Linked DNA regions of Styela clava. The protein of the gene in region 1 purifies or fractionates together with the protein of each later gene. This does not show direct contact. Links are inferred from orthologs where the notes say so. Each region holds a gene or a part of one and is shown in the gene's direction. Other genes may lie near its edges. The genes, in order: mini-chromosome maintenance complex-binding protein-like, kelch-like ECH-associated protein 1 and DNA helicase MCM8-like.

Region 1 (3,759 bases):
TGATGCAGACAAAATAATATCAGACGAGAGTAAAAAAGACACAAGATATATTACTTGGTAAAAAGAGAAATATATATACAAAAACATGTATTAATAAAAAAAATTTTTGCCTTACCATATACCGTATATATTAATAATTTTGTAAGGATTGCCGAACTGGATACCGATTTAGTTGACAGGAGTGAAATTGTAGAAAAAAAATTCTGAAAAGATATCGTCAAGCTGATTATAGTTGGAGTCTTCTAAAGCCAAATTGCTAAGTTGGATGCATGAAGAGGTGGGCTACACTTTACTCACCAAAGCCAAATTCACCAAGTCCATATTATATCAAATATAGTCATAGTCAAGTTTATTTCTTCCCATATCGTGAATCAGTGTATGTAATTATAATTAAAAAATAAAATAAAATAGGGCAGTGTGGTACTGAGGTAGGAGAATGAGTTATGGGAATATACAGGTTATCAAAGGTTGAAGCAAGGTTTTCATATTCATCAATCAGTTAATTTTATTTGGTCACTCTGATAGAAACAAAACAACAACAAACGGATGTGAGACGTGTATTTGTAACACAACAGTGCTTTTCCTACAAAACTATGGAATAAAAAACACTCGCTGACGTGAAATGGTGATGCTGAGCGCCTAGTTCAATTTCATTGCAGAAATAACACAGTGACAAAAAGTGTTACTAAAAAACAAGCTCGGTAAATAGATTGAATGTTCCATAGCAGTCTATGCACAAATCATGGATTGGGATATCGGGTCCTTTTGTCGTTCTCGATAAGTTCAATTTAAAATCATCGTATCCGTTCCAATGCTTCCAACATCAATATCGAATTTCCACGAACGACCACAATTGCAACAGGTGCAGCGGTCCCATCTTTTCACATTAATTTTGGACCCGAAATTATAATAGAGGTTGTCGACTACTAGGATGAGTTCAAATTTAACATGGATGATTCATCAGTCTTTGCAAATTAAATCGATGTGGATACCATTATTGTTGGACAAGTTAGCTGTTGCATTGATTTTATCATCGCGAGACGACCAGGAAAATGAAAGATGAATCTGCGAGTAGAATGTTTAATGGCATATGTATGTGATTATTGTTGCCAGGTTCTATAGTTACTATTGAATTATCGCACACATTCCAATTTTTTTTTTGAGATTAAATAAAACTATCAGGTATAACTTTTTTCTAATGAAATTACAAATGAGCCTGCATAAAAATACAACAAATATAATAATAAATTCATTATATGAATCCTAACGGAACATGAATATTACTCAAGGAAATGGCAACATTGATATTTCGCGCGGTAAAAGGTTCCCTGTATATATTTTTTTATAATCCGTTTGGTTGTTGATATGCATCCACTTGGCACGTGTTATTATTGTTCATCGCTCAGAGTACAGAAATAGCCTACTGACTTCCCCTTAATTCTGTGTTTGCCGAAGACATACCCGTAAACTTAAAGAAGCCTGCGACATCATGCCTTGCATAGAGAACTGGCAGAAGAAACCGTTAAGCATTGTTCAAAATATTTTCGGTGAGTACCGTAAAAGCGCCTAACTTCGGACAGTTCCTAACTTCGGACAAAATTTTTGAACGGCCATATCTTGGCTAAAACGGGGCATATATTGCTAATTTCAAATATTATAGGTAGCGCTGTTATATCTACATCTATTCTCATCTTTTTAATGTGGCATTATAATTTTTTTGGTACAAAAACGGCAATTTTGCCGAAAATTGACTGCCCGGCATTCAACGGCGCAGAGCGTCGCTCCTACTAAAGCTATCATCGTCAAAATACCATCATTCGGTAGAGGGCGATAACAATGTATATAATTTATTTGAGTGATCGCAAGATGTCGTACGAGATTTAAATAAAACCTAAAATTCTGAATTATAAATTCCGTAAGAATATTAAGATTTCACGCAGCGTCAACAGTTACGTCAACCTCACGTAGATTATTTTTCGCTCACTTCCGACACGACGTCACACTGCGTCGCGGAAATGAATTTTGACGCCAGACACAACGGCGCCAATATGACAATTTTCGTTAAGATAAAGACGGCATTCCAATGTAATATTTTTGTATTTTGTTCGGTCCATGTGTGAATATATGCCAAAATTACATTAATAAAAATACATGTCACACTTAATCGATGACGTTAAAAATCGAATATATAAAACTGTAAAAAATCAAACGTCCGTATGGCACAGTGTACTGACTTAACAATTATTTTATGATTAGTAGTCGAAATGACAGTTATTTGAATACGGCCTGGGTGAATTTTATTCACTCGAAGTTAAAAATCAACAAATAAACGGGACTTATATGTTAACGAAATTAGGTTGAACTTTAAATTAAACTTTACAATCGGATTCACCGTGTGTTTGATATAAATTATCACTTATAAAGATTACCGCGCAGAATAAACCAAGCTATCCGTCGAGAATATTAATACTTCAAAGACTTCGATAGAAGCCCGTTAAAATATTTCATTGTGGATTGAAACGGTTTGCATCAGATATATTTACGTATGTATTTCCTGATTAAAATGACTAACGTGTTGTAATACTTATCTGACGTAACGAACGAAAGATGTAAACATAGGACGACGGAAGTTTCAAATAATGCATTTTCGTCGTGACGTTAATGTTACGTTACGACGACGATCGAGCGTCTTATCTTCACGCAACGACGTGATTACGTCATCCGCATCGGAAGCCTCTCTCTCTGAGCGTCGCGGTTACGCAGTGAAGAAAATGACTGTCCGAAGTTAGGGCAGTGAATGATAACGGTCAGATGGCAAGAAAAATAGATTATTTCAATAGTGAAAATAGTCCAATTGAACCGAAATTTGCAGGGAATCTAAATTACCGCACGAATGTTTTACCGAGCAATTTTGGCACCGTTTGGACAATAAATGGCCGAGTTATTGACGAAAATATAGTAATTTTGTCCGAAGTTAGGCGCTTTTACGGTACGATACCGTAACCTGGTAACTGGGTCTAGCGACTGAGCGAAGTAGGTACACGCCGTACGGTACCGGTAACTATATAAAATGGCACCAAACAAAATTGTGACTTGCATTTACCGCTGAAACTGCTTCATTAATGCCAAACAGAAATGTGATGTGAAATTTTTAGGGTTGGTCCATGTAACCGCTGGTTGGTTAGGGCTTTCTCCACTATCAAGTCCATGCTGGCATGCGTCTGAAAACAAATAACTGGCTACCGCCGTACCGGTACCAGGGTACCGCCGTACCGGTACCAGGGTACCGTAATAAATTTCATTCAAAACATGTATTACAAATTTCTTGCTATCGACTAGGTCTTATTTTAAGGGGAGGGCTTATATTAATATCATATTGAAAATTCAGGCTAGGTACCATTTTCGGGTAAACACGGTAGCAACAGACCAAACAAGATCTGAAGAATAACATACCCTAATACAGTAATAATACTGTAATATCTACATAACACTGTTATATTTGCCGCTCAAATGTTTACTGATGTTTTAAATCTATAGAAAATCGCAGTAAAGATGATTGGATCTCAGAAGTTGCAAAATATTTTGAATCACGTTTGAGTAATGAAGAAAATATATCAGTGGTGAGTTATGGCAGTGTTGTAGTCTTATATGAAAACTTGTTTAATTTTCAAGCATGTTTAACTCATAATTTTGTAATTGTTATAGCTTATCTATCCGTCTGTGCAGTCATTTAAATGTGACAAATAGTATACCGGTACC
Region 2 (3,759 bases), on another chromosome or scaffold:
TTACTGTATGTTTGAAACTTTAAATGATACGTATACGAGGAAATCCCCTTTCAAAATAAGTCTACGCCCTCAATTGTAGAGAGTAGGTACGTCTATCTACCACTTGACGACTGAAGAATAAAAAAAATGGGGAACTTTGTTGCGTAAGAACAAGAGTTTTGTGGCACAATTTTTGAGATATCGATAGCGGTACCGATTGTCTTTCGTTGTGGGCGTTGGCCGCTTTGACCAATCAGGATCCAGAGACCAATTTTATTATTGTGGTATTTCTTAAAATGTTAGGTGGTTTGGAGAAAGCTGCCTTATACTCACGCAAAAGTGAGTATCTTGCGAACAAAAATAAATATACAATATAGTCAATAATTATATTTTGATGTTTTGTAGTTATATCTTTCGAAAGTACGCCTAATTAAAATATTATCGGTCACATATTTTTATGGCATGTTGTAATTATTTTATTCCAGTTATGGTACTCGGGAACAGCCCGAGCGCTGAATCATGCTTCCACAACATTCCGGACATTTCCTACAGCGAAAACAAGTATTCGACAGGGTTACTAAAAATCCTGGTAAATATACACTAAGTGTTTCCACGGACTGATTCAGATAAAAATATCAAACGAGATAAGCCATGGACAATACGTATGAACACAAACAAAAGACAGGCTAAATATATACCTTTTGAGGCAGGCAAACGACCTGAGGTTGCGCGCTTCAGCCAATCAAACAGTTGGGCTTGTCTCCGCGTCGTGCTCTTTGTCCGGTTGTCAGTTTGTTCTTGTTTAAAAAAGAGAGTTCGATGAACCGTAAATTATCATTGCACGTGCGTGACTCAGCAGTCTGCTTTTATTTCTTCGTTGTTGATTTCTCTCATTTTCTATGGTTCCCTGTACAAGTTATCGCCATATTTTTCAGACCAAACGCCGAGGGCGGCATAGTGACTGCTTTATGTAATTTCCGTAGCTTTTTTGAGGTTTTGGTTACCTACAAATTAGACCGCACGATATCTCAGCTGTTCATCATATTATAGTTATATTGTGTTGTAGTTTTAGATCAGGTTTATATGACATTAGCTGTGTTAGCCTTCAGGTTTATAAGAGCATGTCATACTGCTGTACTGAGTCCGTACCCTGTATGCAGGGTTTATTATTCTGTAACATTGTAACATTTCGGTTGTACCATATTCGTAGATATATAAATAAATGGAAATGATGCATAACTAAACAGGCGGAATGGCTATGTATGTATGGAATTCTGCGATGAAATGTTATATATCAACTTTAACAAACGTACTGGAATTATACCGAAGCAATATCTGTATATCGTACTACTAGATAGTAAAGTACTGCTTAAACCCAAAAGCGCAGTACCATTCTACCACTGGCTTCAATCAAACCTACAATACAATGCCTCGAAAGAAGAATTCATCTTCGTGTGAAGTATCAGGAAAATGTCCTGGGCAAGTAATTCCGACGATGGACGGAGACAGGTATGTTGATTCAGAGTATGAGTTCATCTTATCGGGTAAACTCGATAAAAAGGTTTGCTGGTCAGTAATTAAACACAGCCGATTGCGATCGGACCATTTACAGTATATATATAAGTTATATATATCGTTTTTCATAGCGAATCACCGCTGTATTCAAGTAGCTTTGATATCACATACGTTTTTTGACCTGTTTGCCCCGTTGGGCAACAAATTTATCAGTCTTTGCATTGTGTTCTGTTCTTTTCTGCTGCTTCTGGTAACTGCGGTAACATCTGGCGGTACCCACTTCCCACTTTACTGACGAATATGGTGATTTACTAAAAATACACGAAATAGCTGTTTTTCAATCAAACGCCTTCCGAGCCTGGGATACGTGCGATTGGTGTCGTTAAGGTGAAATTATACTGATTAATCATCAATCTAGTTTTGTACTATTTCCGGATATCGGTTACGTAGGTGCTATTTACGTTTGATCGATAAAAGCTTGCATGCAGTTTCACTTGCCGATGCTGCTAATTTTACAAACGAAAAATTGCTTGTCCCGATGTCCAATAATACTTTTATGGTCTCTAGAAATTAATGCTCATGATGTCACAATGAAACAAAGCTGATGCCTAAATTGTCAAATTGTAAAACGATTTTCATTCAGTATATGACCGAGTCAATTTGTTATTAAAAAAATGCTAATTAATCTTGTAGTAAAAATATCAGACAAAATGCCAGTCCTGTCGCGATGTTATTAATTTGGCTTTGACTTGCCGTTTCAAATGACCTATCATTTAATCCATAATAGTGCAAGTAGGCATTACTGTGCTAACAGTGTTCGTAGCTAAAAGAAAGAAAAGTGGCACAAAAAATTCATGCATTTCTTCTTGGAGAAATCGCCTGGTTATGACTTTAAAATCTGTGATAGAATCACATATATTACTTTGTAACACACGATAATTTGACCGAATTTGAATAAAAATTTCCAACTTTTTCGTTAATCGAAGTATTATCTTTACGTAATCCGGGCGTGGAAAGTACGACAATTTTATGTGTACGATATGGTTAACATTGAAACTTTTAATTTTTTTGCTCGCTGCCGAGGAGTTCGCTTATCCCTTTTCGTTTTGCTCGATTCCTAAAACTCATATCACTCCTCAAAATACTTTGCTTGCGAAAATTCACCACATAATTATATTTTTATATATTTTCCGTGACTCCTAGGTTGGAAAAATACGAACAGAAGGAATATCCAAACGATTCTCTGGCCATCATGCACGAGTTGCGGTTGAATGGACTTCTTTGTGACGTAACAATAAAACTTGAATACGATGGGAAAAAGCAGAAATTTCACGCACACAAACTAGTGTTAGCAGCGTGCTCGCCATATTTTAAAGCCATGTTCACTGGTAAATGATATTTTCATGTATAATTTTATACATTAAAAGATTACGGTAACGTAATAATGATATAATATAAAATAGATAATAATTTAGTTACTCCCCATATATAGGTACGGTTTCTCAAACATTCATTTCGGTTATGCCGATGTTTTAATATATTTTAATCAACACGGGCTAATGTTTTTCAACACCTTCCTTAGTGCAATATCATTCGCAAGCTATCGTCATCGCCAGGATCGACAAGGAAATTCAGTTTCTATTTCTAGACGCCATTGTGACGTCATCGATGAAGTAATAGGTTTCCAGTATGATTTTTTGACTGGTTTTTTCAGGTGGTTGCCGGGAACGAAATCAACCAGAAGTGAATATGAGCGAAATTCACCCAGAAATATTCACCAAGTTGCTTGATTTTGCATATACCTCAAGAATATCAATTAGTGAAAAATGCGTATTGTATATAATGCAAGGTGCAAACATGCTTCAAATGACCCATGTTTTGAAAATATGCTGTCAGTAAGTGTCATTTAATTAATTCCTAGTATTTCTTAAGGCTTGAAGTTTTTTGTGGTATTCTTCTACTTCCGTCTCTCTGGGCAATCCAATTTTTGCGGTTGCACCATTTTGTTTATTGTTATATTCTGAGTTTTGTGGTAGACCTGATTTGACTTTTGGAATAACCAGAATTTCAAACTGAAAACTGTAATCAGAAACACATACCATCTTTTACCCTTGGTGTGTTTTTGTATTTGTATCCATAATTTCGGTACTTCTGAAGTATGCGCACCAAGATGTCGCATAACCTGAACCCTAACCTGGTACACAACCTGAGTTCAGGTTGTGCGCCATCTTGGTGCGCATACTTCAGGAGGTCCATAATTTCTAT
Region 3 (3,759 bases), on another chromosome or scaffold:
AGAACAACAGCGTGCGTTCAATACTACCTTTGCATGTTCTGGATGAATGTTAATTTTTGAAACAGCATCTCTGAGAAGATCATCTTCACTAGCGTCCCATGCATCTTCTGTATGATGCTCAAATTCTTTGAAAGACAATTTATGCCTCGGAACTGGTGATATGTTTTGTGTTGAGGATTTGATTGACCTACAATGTATAAAGTTATTGCTTACAATTTCTAATAGACAGATAATTATTTTGAAATATACACAAGGCCAATGATACATAATATCAAGTGAAATATAAAGCTTAAATTCTGAAACCTGCAGAGCTGTGTACACAAACAGGTAGGTCACTTGTCAGGACAATCCTACAATTAAACTCAAATACAAGCAGATTGCATATTGTTACTATACTGCTATCATCTCAAACCTTTGTTCAGTTGTCTATACAGGAATGAAAAAGTACTAACCCTCCAGGCATTTTCGGTGAAGATCTCTTCCAAAATGGAACTTTGCTTGGCGATTTGGAAGACATACCGGTAGCTGTCAGGCTGTTGGTCACTTAGTAATTACGTATTATTTCAGTATTTCGACTGTTTTTGCACAGTTTGGTTTTTATTCAGTTACCGTATGGGAGCTGATCTTCATTCAGTTTTTAATAACAATCCAATTTCAACATTCCCTAATTCAGTAATAATAACCCAAGTTATAACTTTAAATTAATATCTTGAATCAGACACACAACACTACCAAGCAATGTATGAATGTCCAGAATGAGAAACAGGCAAAATTGCCCTCTGAACTCATTCCACCCAAGTACCACAGGTAAAAAAATAGAAGTAGCCAAAGTAAATTACAATGCAAAGAGTAGTTACGCGTCATCGCCTGCACTGGTGCGTGAATTACACTGTAGTGATTATATTTTCATTGTTTTTTGAATTGGAGATCATCTATGAATCATCGAAATAATGCAGTAGGTATACATATAAATTTTGAAGCATAATTAAGAAACTATTGCTCCATTTTTGTAATCGCAATTATATTTTCGCTACAGCAAGTCAGCTTTTGGTGGGAAGTTTGGAAATCCCCACTTTTCCACTTTCTGCATTTGCATGTAATTATGTTGTTGTGACCGGTTATTTTGCGTGTAATCTGATCTACAGAAATACCGAGGAATTAAAAAAAGAAATTGAAAAATGACGACTCCGCCCCAAAAGCAGAATAGGAAGAAAAAGAAAAGCGGAAACAGCTTTTTTCGGTAAGACATACCTACCGTAACAACAGAAGAAAAGGGACATGAGAGTTTGTAATACCGGTAATATCCTGATATCTGGCCAAGCTGATTCGTTTTTTTCTATATACCGTACCGGTACCAGTATACAGATATACCTGTATCTTTAGTTGCTTTCAAACTTTAATTTTTTTTTTAAATGCATGGAGCAGTAGGGAAAGTCTGAAAGTTGTCTGCTTGTGTTCAATGTCTGCTACATTGTTCATTTCGCAGTACCAGTGTTCATGATATTCCATAGGAGGCATATTAATTCTATTTTTTGTATTATAATAATAAGCAAAATATGCATTTTTTTATTCTCCACATAGCCTAATTTTCACCCTTCACTGCTTCAGTCTTTTAATACAGTACTGCAGTAATAGCAGCAATACATCATGTATCACAGTTTTGCAGCTAACGTTAGATACAGAGATAACCGCTCGGGGTTCTGAGGTTTTCTGTGAGTTCACCACCCGTGATTAGCGATATTTTTGGAAATTTGGCAATGTTATATTTACACATGGCAGCATGGTGATGAATAAATATCATTAAATTTTGTTCATTATGAGGTTTCACTCTAAGCATGGCTCTGGGCAAGATACCTACTCGTTTGCAACGATTGAAAATATTTTAGTATTGCCTACTAAATTTAGTATATAACTGGGAAATGGGTTGGGGCATGGGGTCAAGTATGGGATATTTAACGTGTGACACTAATATAGTTATATCCTCACTCTAGTCATAACAATATCACAATCAACATGTTTCTTCAGTATCGAAGTGAAGAAAGTCAATGCAACCTCGTTTATTTGTTTACATTAAGTTTTTTTTTAACATGGAATTGCCTTGTTATCAGAGATTTCAGGATCTCTAGTATGTGAACCTATAAATATTAAGCTACTGTCTATTTTTTGTCCAATTTGTTCTCTATGCATTATTATTCGATGATTTCTGTTATTTTTAGCTTCCGTGGCCCTCGAGAGCCTCAAATAGTTGAGCTGACTCAGCCAAGAGTGAATGTCCGTCCAGACTTGGTCCGAGGAAGTTTTTGTCCGTATCGAGCCTGGAAAAACTATTTTCCAGTAGAAGAATACAATCTAGGATCTGCTACAGCTTCTATAGTAAAGGTATAATTTCAAGATCTTCATTAAAGAGCATATCTTTGCACTATTAGTAGACTTCATCTTATCCATTTGAATCTATTTGGCTCTTTTCATTCCCCCCCTCAAAGACTTTTGAATGCTCATTGCTCTATCATTATGTCACTTTTCATTCATAAAAACTCCATATTTGTTGTTTAATCTCCAATGTATTATCAGTTAGTGATAATCTGAACTCGCACTATGGCTTTTGTAAAGTTTCAATTGTTTATAATTTGAGCATAGGTACTAAAAAAGGTAAAGAATATTAGTGATAGTACCGTATTCACAAATGAAGAGTAAATGAAGAGAAAAAATAAATCCTCAGCAGCTTTTTTATTTTTACAATTTTGAGTTCAGTGAAACCATCTCTCTTATCTTTTCAACGTTATTGGTTGTGTTTTCATTTTGGATATTTATTTGTTCAGAATAAAAAATTCAAATTTCATCAATTGTTCATAATATTTATTTATTTTAATTAAATTAACAGGTTCTAGAATTATACATGAAAGATTATTTTGATAAATGTGATCAAGAAACAATATTGAACAGCGAAAGTATCACAATCGATTTTAAGGAGATAACATCACACAATGTCATCAAAACATCATTACCTGAGTTTGCTGATAAACTATTCAATAATCCTGATCACTTGCTGAATTGTCTCGGTAAGTTTGGTGGCCATAGTTGATCGGGGCGCTAGATGGATTTCTGGTTATACCAAATTTATTCCAAAATGAATGGTTTGGTAATAATAATATCAAAATATATTCATAATGACAATCTTTGTTAAGATTCTCAATCAATTGACTTTCAAGTAACTTTCAAAATTGAATTACTATATAATAGTCATTTATCTTTATCAAGAATTTTGCTAAACCATTAGTGATCTGATGACAATTCGATATTTTATCTTTTTTCGATGCTATTCATTGTTCCCTCTTAATCTGTTTTAGTTTAATAAATATTCTTGTTTCATTAGGATTAGCGGCTCATCAAACCGCTGTACAAGCATGTCAAAAACTTGGAATAGAACAAGATGGAGAGGATAATAAACCTACTTCTGTTGATGATATTCCTGTAATCAGGTAGTATTTTCAGAAAAAAAAATGTAGTTTTTAGATTGTTGTATCACACCACACGGTCATTTGAATACTATTCAAATGATATTAAATGGGCATCGCTATAGAAATCAAGGTATGGATTTTATGTCTGATAAGAGTCTAATAGGAATTAAAAAATCATACCTCAGGCTCCAAATTCCAAAAAATTGATCAAGATAGCTCAGATTTTGGGTTCAATTCTGACATCATGTAGTTTTTTCTCTGGGGCGTTTGTGTTACCAGTTCCCTAAACAACGACTGCATA

Evidence for each region.
Region 2: the proteins of mini-chromosome maintenance complex-binding protein-like (region 1) and kelch-like ECH-associated protein 1 purify together in Homo sapiens (affinity purification with mass spectrometry; 3 studies listed by BioGRID and IntAct, with this or other methods). This does not show direct contact. The link is inferred for Styela clava from reciprocal best matches to the Homo sapiens genes MCMBP and KEAP1.
Region 3: the proteins of mini-chromosome maintenance complex-binding protein-like (region 1) and DNA helicase MCM8-like purify together in Homo sapiens (co-immunoprecipitation; 3 studies listed by BioGRID and IntAct, with this or other methods). This does not show direct contact. The link is inferred for Styela clava from reciprocal best matches to the Homo sapiens genes MCMBP and MCM8.

The regions. Positions count from the first base shown.
Region 1 is NC_135258.1:12,528,385-12,532,143, reverse strand, and holds the start of mini-chromosome maintenance complex-binding protein-like, read left to right. Parts: upstream 1-1,366; 5' UTR 1,367-1,489; coding exon 1,490-1,547; intron 1,548-3,537; coding exon 3,538-3,620; intron 3,621-3,759. UniProt on the Homo sapiens protein: Associated component of the MCM complex that acts as a regulator of DNA replication.
Region 2 is NC_135250.1:6,652,152-6,655,910, forward strand, and holds the start of kelch-like ECH-associated protein 1, read left to right. Parts: upstream 1-1,173; 5' UTR 1,174-1,405; coding exon 1,406-1,488; intron 1,489-2,697; coding exon 2,698-2,882; intron 2,883-3,208; coding exon 3,209-3,389; intron 3,390-3,759. UniProt on the Homo sapiens protein: Substrate-specific adapter of a BCR (BTB-CUL3-RBX1) E3 ubiquitin ligase complex that regulates the response to oxidative stress by targeting NFE2L2/NRF2 for ubiquitination.
Region 3 is NC_135257.1:6,810,980-6,814,738, forward strand, and holds the start of DNA helicase MCM8-like, read left to right. Parts: upstream 1-1,022; 5' UTR 1,023-1,178; coding exon 1,179-1,240; intron 1,241-2,216; coding exon 2,217-2,379; intron 2,380-2,881; coding exon 2,882-3,059; intron 3,060-3,373; coding exon 3,374-3,479; intron 3,480-3,759. Other genes in the region: TBC1 domain family member 22B-like, read right to left, coding at 28-187, 453-517. UniProt on the Homo sapiens protein: Component of the MCM8-MCM9 complex, a complex involved in the repair of double-stranded DNA breaks (DBSs) and DNA interstrand cross-links (ICLs) by homologous recombination (HR).